2 linked regions of the Rattus norvegicus genome follow. The protein of the gene in region 1 binds, or shares a complex with, the protein of each later gene. Links are inferred from orthologs where the notes say so. Each region holds a gene or a part of one and is shown in the gene's direction. Other genes may lie near its edges.

Region 1 (4,037 bases):
ACATCAAAGTTCTGTGTTCTTCACATGCACCACTGTCCTACAACGGTGCTGATTTGGTTTTCTTTACTCTATTAAACTTTAATTAGGCGCAAGACCAATTGCACAGTGCCCTCCAGCTTAACAAGCATGACCTGACTTACATTATGCTGGGGAAGATCCATTTACTGCAGGGAGACTTGGATAAAGCCATTGAGATCTACAAGAAAGCAGTGGAGTAAGTGTCCTTTTCACTTGGACTTGGACTAGAGTGTCCACCCTTTTAACATTGCAACATGAAGTTATCACCCACAGAGTCCATGCTCAAGAAGAGAACACTGAATAACAAAAACTTGTACACACACCCCATGATGTTTTCGGTATGTTTGCCATTTTGCGTTGGGACAGATTGACAGCCATGCTGGGATGTATGCAGCCCAGAGGCCACAGGTTGACACACCTGCTGGAAGCAATGGGACCTTTGAGAACAGATGCTTGCTTTCTTCTGCGACAGTGCTGTTCTAGGCTAGCTGCCTCCCAGGCCAGCTGCTGGGGATTAGTTCCTTGTGTGGTTTTTTCACCTTCAACCTGAGTAACATGTTCCAGGCCATACTGAAGGAAGATGATACTTGTAACTCAGTATGGAGTAAGTACCTCTGGTTTGAAATAACTGCACACATACTTGCACACATAATCTGCAGTTGGAATTAGGTAGGAGAAAACAGCCACAACAGGAGTAGGTGGACCATGCACTCAGCAAGAACTTGGGCTGGGTGATATTTTGTAGCAGATCCTCTGTTCCTGGTGATCATATTAGGAACAGAAACCCCAGCTCAGTAACAGACATTTGCGCTCATTAACCTGAGACCGATATATCTTGCGTTAGTTATTTTGGTTTCTTATGCTGAAAATAGAATCTTACCTGTGCTTACCTGAGCACAGGTGCTACAACTCCAGCCACATAACATGTTTTACTGCTGATCTTTGTTTAAAAAATCCCATTAGGGTAGTCTAACCTGTTGACAATGGATGACTGAATTTCCCATCCCAAGTTTCTTTTCTAGGGACACCTAGAATTTTGGTTTTTTTTTTCTGTGTAGTGTCATCTTGTTTCACTTATTTCTTTTGAGGCAGGGTCTTAGCATGTAGCCTTGGCTGCCTACAACTCACCACGTAGATCAGGTTGGCCAGGAACTTGGAGAGGTCCACCTGCCTCCTTTAAATAGCACAGCTGTAGTAAAATGCTCAGGTGTCATGTTCGGTCATAGAACATGTATGACTCACAGACTAAGACTCTGAACTGGTAAAGAGTACTGGCTACTTCTTAGCTTTGTCCAGCACAGGGTGAGCTTCCTGGCTGTGTCAGTCACAGCACTACTTTCTGCATTTTCTATAACCACATTTTGTGTCAGAAAAATCTCTTAGGTTTGTTGGTAAGCTCAGTGATTTCCATTATCAAAAGGTTAGGCTTCTGTGGGTCGGTAGGAACCATGAAACAAGTCAAGAGCTCCTGTGAGAGTAAGCCTGTTCCTGACACTTGTCCTGTACAGGGTGGCATTTGAATTAGTACACATGAACTCTGGTGAGGTTGTGCAGACAGTGACTACTCAGACTTGAATCACTCATCTTCCAAAAGGAGAAAATAAGAGCGCTGAGTATTTGAGATGATAGCTTCATGGCCTGCGGCTTTGGAAAGGAGTGCTGTCAGGGGACAGACCCCGATGGGATGGGAAGGGTGGGGAGCACGAGTTCATTATGTGGTGTAGGAAGGGGTGTGCTCAAAGTGGATACTTCCTGTAGGAAAGTAAGACAGACACTCGGCTGTACTGAGAGAGTGTGTGCCAGCTCAGGCACAGGATAGGCTTTGACTGTGCAAGTCCTGGACCTCCTCAGGGTAACAAGCAGGAGCATTTCCTTGCTCTTTGATGCTTTTCAGGTGAAACTAATGATCCTGTGTTCAGATGGTCTCAACTCTGTTGTTTTGGCTTTTTGACAACGACAAGCATCAGAGAAAAACTGAAAAGGCAGATAATAGGCCAGTGTTTACTCCAGGATCCAGTATCTAAGTCTTTCCAAGGGTGGATATATGCCTTCTGTGTTTAGTTGGCAACTTAGTAAGTATGGTGCTTTGTTTAATTTGGAAAGCACATGTCAGGGACCTTGGAGTCCTAAGTGACATAGGAAGTAACATTGTCTGCACAGGGAAAGTGACAGAGTTCTCCACAGAGAGACTAGCGTAACTGTATCCTGACTTGGCTTAAAATTTAATTATTTTCAGTGTGATGAATTATTCCACAGTTGTTTTTTTAAGGTTGCTGTTGGTCCAAAAGAAGGGCTCTGAAAAAGGAGTCTAGGTTCCAAGCCCATTTCCTTCTGCTGAGCAGATCTTCTCTGTCTCCAGGACTGAGCTGATTTGCTTTTGAAGAGTGTTGGCTCTACAGGTCTGTCTCATAACAATGGTTTCCTTGTGAGCATCTCTGTGTTACAGGTTCTCTCCAGAAAATACAGAACTTCTCACAACTTTAGGATTACTCTACCTACAGGTAATGAGACTGCACATTCACATGCTGCTCTTAGACGTGCCTAAGTTTGTCTACAGTGCTCGCCTTCACTTTTCTACTTGGAACATTGTGTTAACGGTCACAGTACACACAGAAACCATGGCTTGTTTTAAATACTCATTGCTAACGGGATTAACATTTGCACCCAGGTCATGATTCTCTTTCAGCCTTAGTGTAATAGCAATTCTTATACAATAGGGAAAGAATATATATGAGAAACTGCTGTCTGGCTTGGGGCTGTTAACCTTATTGTTGGGGGAAAGGGGAAGAACTGATACATTTTACCACTTTGTGCAGTTCACTTGCTATCCAAGGTCCTGTAGGCGAGAGCAGCAAGGGGTAGGTTTTTAGAGAGGAAATACTACCTTTCTTTAACATTGCCAAGTGTGGATGGGACTCTCTCTCTCTTTAATTTTTAAAGGATTATTTATTTATTTATTTATTTATTTTGGTTCTTTTTTTTTTTTTTTTTTTTTTCCGGAGCTGGGGACAGAACCCAGGGCCTTGCGCTTCCTAGGCAAGCGCTCTACCACTGAGCTAAATCCCCAACCCCTATTTATTTATTATATGTAAGTAGACACTGTAGCTGTCTTCAGACACACCAGAAGAGGGCATCAGATCTCATTACAGATGGTTGTGAGCCACCATGTGGTTGCTGAGATTTGAACTCAGGACCTCTGGAAAAGCAGTCAGTGTTCTTTTTTTTGGGGGGGGGGGTTCTTTTTTTCAGAGCTGGGGACCGAACCCAGGGCCTTACGATTCCTAGGCAAGCGCTCTACCACTGAGCTAAATCCTCAACCCCTCAGTCAGTGTTCTTAACCACTGAGCCATCTCCCTAGCCCTGGATGCCACTTGTGTTGGCCTGAGTACCTGAGGCTCCAGATCTCTGAGCTGTCTTACCCTGCTCACTGTACAGTCTCCCTGTTCAGCTGATATGCCTCAGAAATAGCTTTTATAACTATTGCTTTAAGAACCTAGAGTCTAACACTGGGTCCTCTGGTCTTTGGCTTGTGAGGAAGAGCAACGGGACAGTCCCTGTCAGGAAGCATTAATATCAATCAGCATGAGTGTTTGTGAAATGGTTTTCTGGCCAAAGATACTTCAACTTTATCAGGAGAAAAATGAACAAGAATAAGGAAATCACAAACATGGACATTTGTGTTTTATTTGGTTTACCTACTTTATTTTTATTATCATTACTATTTTCAAGGGTTGGGGTGTGGGTGTCCAAAAGAACTTTACAAATGACTGCAGGTTACCATTCAGTGTATAGTTGCCCAATTTGTGAACTGACATGTCCCTGCTGAGGTAAATTCTATTTGGTTTGCTTTCTTTCAAGCTTGGTGTTTACCAGAAGGCATTTGAACACCTTGGGAATGCACTGACTTACGACCCTGCCAACTACAAGGTACTGCGTGCTCTGGTGCCCCCGTGGCCCTAGAGATGATCAAACCTAGAAACAGCACAGCCTTTTTACTTTAAATACGCAAGAAGGCAACT
Region 2 (4,777 bases), on another chromosome or scaffold:
TTGAGGGGATAGGTCGCAAAACAGGGTTTCCTCTTTTATTTTCATCACCTCATAAAGCTACAAACCGATGGGGAGAAAATCGAATCTCCCAAGTGTAAAGGTGAAATCAGATGAAAAACGCACCCCAAAAACATCATCTTTCCGATTCCCAAATAGACAAGCGTTCCACCTGTTTGTAAACCCCTACTTGCACAGTTAACCCAAACCTCTGCTGAGAGGGACTGGGGGGTTGGGGGGAAGAGTGGGGAGAGGCGGGCGAATTACAGCTTTGGAGTCCTTATTCTTCTACCTAGGCATGGGGGAGGGGATGGTACAAAACAATGGATACCGAGGGGCTAGGGGGAAAATCGTTTTGCCCTGCAGCCTCCTGCGTTCCGAGCTGGGGGCGGGGAGTTACACTACTTTTCCTCTAGCCCTCAAAGCCGACGCGGAGATTGCCATCAGGCGTGTTTAGCAGGGCGGTCTCGGCGGCCACAACTCCTTTCACTCCGCAACACACCCAACGCCGATCCGCCGATCTCCCCGCAGGGTCGGTCTGTGGGGAGGAGACCGCCCAGAGCCAAGGACTTTGGGGAGGAGGTGCAGCGACCCCACCCCACAGCCCCACAGCTCCACAGCCTCATAGCCCCACATAACCACGGCCGCGCCCGCCCGCCCGCCCGCCGGTCCGCCCGCCCGCCCGGCGCCAAACGTCCGCACGACCCGGGCAGCCCCGCAGTCCCGGCCCGGAGGCGCCGAGAGCCGGGAGCAACCGGAGCGCGACTGACCGACCGGCAGCCCCGGGCCCGCGCCCGCGCCCCGGCGCTGTCCCAGCCGACCGCTCCGCAGTAGGCCCGGCCCGGTGCTGTCAGGGGCAGCCGGTTGCTCCCGGTGCCCCGCCCGCTGGCCCCGCGCGGGCAGCGGCTCCGAGGCCCCGGAGCCCCGGGCCGTGGCACCCCGGAAAGCAGCCGCGGCGCCTCCCAGGGCCCCGACCCCTCAGGCCTCGCCCCGGCCCCCGCGGCTCGCGCCTGTCAGGACCTGTGGGCCTCCCCTTACCGACGGCTGGCCAGGTCCCCGGACAGGCAGGAAGGCAGAGGACTGGCCCACGGGCGCCCCTGTGCTGCTCCCGCCCCAGGCTGCCGTCCGGAGCCCCGACTCCACCATCCCCGCTCACCTCCTTCCTCCTCCTCGTCCTCCGCTCCCCGAGCGACGCTCCCCTGCCACCGCCCCCCCGCCCCTCCCCCACTCGCCCCGCCCCTCCACACACTCTGGCTCCAATCGCCCCGCCCCGACCCTCTTGAACAAGCCTGGGCATTCGCTAGGGAGGAGGGAATGGGCGGAGCCATGGCAAATGGAGTCGCCCAATCAGAGCGAGACATTGGTGCCAGCTTCCCTGTCCCCGCCCTTTTCCTTTCCTCCGCGGCCGCGCGCGGTCTCCCGCCCACTGGGCGCCGCTGGCTAGCTCCGCCACAGAGAAAGCCTCCAGCCGGGTAGAGAAACAACTCCCAGTCGGAAGTTACGGTTGAAGCCCAGGCAGCCATAATTGATAATGGCAGGAGGCGTTTCCTGTCACCCGTTTGACGTATACTTTTCCTGCATTCGGTCCCCTCCGTTGCCCCAGGCAACAGCAGAGCCATCTGGAAAGGGCTGCACCTGTAAGTATACTTACGCAAGATGTGCACAGATAGTCCACACTGGACGAGTTAATTCGCGCCCAGGAACTGCAGGTTTGGTTTTTCAGGCTCTTCACTGAGCCGCCTGATCACTTACCTAGAACTACAGTTTAGAGCTTCAAAACTCCCTCGCGCCGGAAGTTACGCTTGGCACTTCCTAGTAGGGTCATGGCCAGGAGGTGGGAGTAGTCGCCCCAGCCTGCGCCCCAGGGGATACCTCCTCTTCCAGAGTTGAAGAGTGAGGTAAGTGCTCCCGACGCCTTACCACGGGGCCGGCCAGGCCGGATGAACAGCAGGGAGGGAGCTCGGAGAAGACTACTAGCTAAGGCCCAGGGCCGCTTCCGCTGGCAGAAGGTTTCCTTTCCGGCTGGTGGGGCGGTGGCCAGCCTTCCCTCCGCCCCTCTGAGGTTCCCTGTAGGGCGAGGCTGCCTGACCCACACCCCGGCCAGACCAGAGGACCCGCAGACCCTAGGTCTGCACTGTGGGACACGCGACACACCTCCGCGAGTTCCTCTAGAGTATGGTCCTTTCACCTCCTGTCCTTTAGAAACTCTAGATTTCGGGAACCAAAAGGAACCAGTTTCCACCCCAACTATCAAAGAAAAAGATGACTTCCCTGAGCCAGCCCTCATCTTCTGATTTTTCTTCCCATTCTGGGCACTTTGTAAGCTTTCACTAGAGTTCTGGGTTAGGGTGTATTGTAGTAGTTAGTCCTGGGTGTCTACGATTGTGACCATCCTTTTAAAGAACATTTAAAAATACTTAAAATGCTTTATGTGTCTCCAAGATATTGTCTCTTGTAGTTCCTTCTGTGGGCATTTTGAGTCAAGAAGTCAACCGTTCTGATAACTACAGATCAGATTCCTAAAGCTGCAAGAAAAAGATAACAATTTTCAGGTAAATTAAAATATGCTTCTGCCTAACCAATCGAAAAAGTGCGAATCTGCCTTCTCCACCAGTGTTCCAGCAAACAATGAAGTAGTCTTGTTTCTGCTGAGGTTAATCGTTGAAGTCGGCTGTCACCTTTTGTGACTTGTGTCAGTTATTCTGTTATCCTTGGAGATGTGTACCGCAATCTCTCCAACAGGAAACCTTACCCTTCTCACTATCTCATGGGTCAGCTGCTTGAGGACCTTTTGCTGTGTTGACTGTGTTATGCCTGAACAACGTGATCCGTGTGGGATTCACCTGCTCCGCACATAATAGTGCTCTCCTAAAGGGTTAAATTATTAGCAGTGTCCTTCAGTAGCAGAATTGAGCATGGTCCCTGGCACTCAGTGCTTCTTAGGGTCGACCTCTGAAGTCTTTACAACATAATTACCCTCCCGACTGTGTGTGTGTGTGTGTGTGTGTGTGTGTGTGTGTGTGTGTGTGTGTGAGAGAGAGAGAGAGAGAGAGAGAGAGAGAGAGAGAGAGAGAGAGAGAAAACGTGCACACATTACAAAGCTAAAAAAGCCAGGTGTGATGGTGTGATGCACTTAGGGGCTGAAACAAGAGAATCTCATGTTCAAAGCTACAGGGATGCAGAGTGAAATCCTATCTCAAAACAGGAGGGCGGGGAGCACTTACAGCCTTAGACCTATTTACCTATGTTGGATACTTATTCAGATTCTGATATATATACACCTCTTTCCTCTTCACATTCCTACTTTAGTACTATTTAGAAATAATATATTGATCTGCAGTTAGACCCCCTAACGTTAATTTAAGATTTTGAAAATCTTAAATTAGTAAAATACAGTATTATTACAACCAAGAAAAGTAGCAATTTTGTAACATAAAATACAGAGACTATACAAATCAAAATACTTCAGAAGTTTTGTATTGTACATGGGCATTGCCACTTCAGAATTTTATAGCTGTCCCGATCTTCCTCTCTGTGACACTGACATTTTAACAAAGTCAAAGAAATCCAGAGGTATTGTTGAAAAGGGATCCCTTTTTTTTATTTCATACCAATTAGAAGTTAGACTTGAGGCCTGATTAATTTTAATTCTTTTTTTTTTTTTTTGTGCATAACTGTGTAACTTTTTCCAGTTAGGTTCTCAAATGCAACTACATATACCTTTGCCTCGTGTTACTAGTAAAGTCCATCCCATTGTCAAGCTGAGAGTTTGGCATTTAATTTGCCTGTGTGTATAGAGTATTTAAAGTGCCCTAGGCTGTCAATATAGACTGTCTCCCTTTGATAAATGTGGCTACTTTGCCTATGCTGATGCAATGAAATCTACAGTAAAGTATGCTGATGTCAGCATAGTTTCTTGAGTTTCAAGTCCTGGCACCCTGCAGACTGCTGTTGAAAGATGTATAGCTCTGTAATTCAAATATGTGAATCTTGATGTTATCTCAGCAGATACCCAGGTAACTATTGTCCCTCTGGCCACAATCCAGTCTAGGCAATGGTATTTTCTCCTTGAAATTCTTCTGCAAGATCTCATTGGTCCTGTTGTTTCTGTAATAGCTTTCTGGTAGTAAGGACTGCCTATTAAAAACCAAGCTTAAACTTAACATCTCATTAGGAGCATGCTCTGCCCAGTGGAGAGAACTGTGGGATTTGGTTTATAATGACAAGAGGAACCCTCCCAAGAATGCAGAGCTCCCGTGGTCCTCCTGCTCCACACTCACTTTTCTTCTTGAAAGTTAAAAGGAGATTTCTTAGGTTAGCATAGAATGCTGTTAGCAGTCATACTGAAAGTTAAAATAACATGTTCCAATAGCTGCATTCTTTGTGTAGGAGGAAGTGTGCTCCTATATGATTGTGAAACAATTTCAACTTAATACTGAATTCAGGAAGGCTAAATAACATAGTAGTTAAGACTAGGTTTTAGAATCAGACCTGGAGTTAGGAAGATGCCCATTCACTAGCTAAGTGTCTATGGCTGTTTAAAACTAAATTTAACAGAACGCAAAGTACTTCAGCTTGCCTCATGGCATACAGAATGTGGTCAGAGTATCATTGTTGTTCTAAACTTCTATAGCAATGTATAATTTGGGCACATTGGGCATTAAAATATTTAGAAATTTAATGAGTGTGTGTGTGTGTGTGTGTGTGTGGAGAGAGATCTCCAAGTTCAATGTCAAACATATAAAAAGATTGTAATACAGTGATTCTGGCGGACTTTAGG

Evidence for each region.
Region 2: the proteins of Bbs4 (region 1) and Bbip1 are in contact, whole or in part, in a cryo-EM structure (PDB 6VBV), measured with the Bos taurus proteins. The link is inferred for Rattus norvegicus from reciprocal best matches to the Homo sapiens genes BBS4 and BBIP1. Residues at the interface, in NP_001069424.1 of Bos taurus: Leu210, Leu213, Tyr236, Leu240, Ala241, Ser244, Gln247, Thr248, Ser269, Pro271, Asn274, Asn275, Met278, Phe281, Gly282, Lys284, Tyr298, Leu299, Pro301, Leu302, Asp303, Trp304, Lys305, Ile306, Tyr308, Asn309, Leu312, Leu315, Thr316, Gln318; in XP_003587939.1 of Bos taurus: Met7, Phe8, Arg9, Glu10, Val11, Leu12, Pro13, Lys14, Gln15, Gly16, Gln17, Leu18, Tyr19, Val20, Glu21, Asp22, Leu28, Lys30, Pro31.

Annotation. Positions count from the first base shown.
Region 1 is NC_086026.1:68,633,365-68,637,401, reverse strand, and holds part of Bbs4 (Bardet-Biedl syndrome 4 protein), read left to right. Parts: intron 1-86; coding exon 87-214; intron 215-384; exon of another isoform or gene 385-617; coding exon of another isoform or gene 618-622; exon of another isoform or gene 623-2,464; coding exon 2,465-2,519; intron 2,520-3,876; coding exon 3,877-3,945; intron 3,946-4,037.
Region 2 is NC_086019.1:262,961,457-262,966,233, reverse strand, and holds the start of Bbip1 (BBSome-interacting protein 1), read left to right. Parts: upstream 1-1,823; 5' UTR 1,824-1,895; intron 1,896-2,433; exon of another isoform or gene 2,434-2,455; 5' UTR 2,456-2,549; intron 2,550-4,777.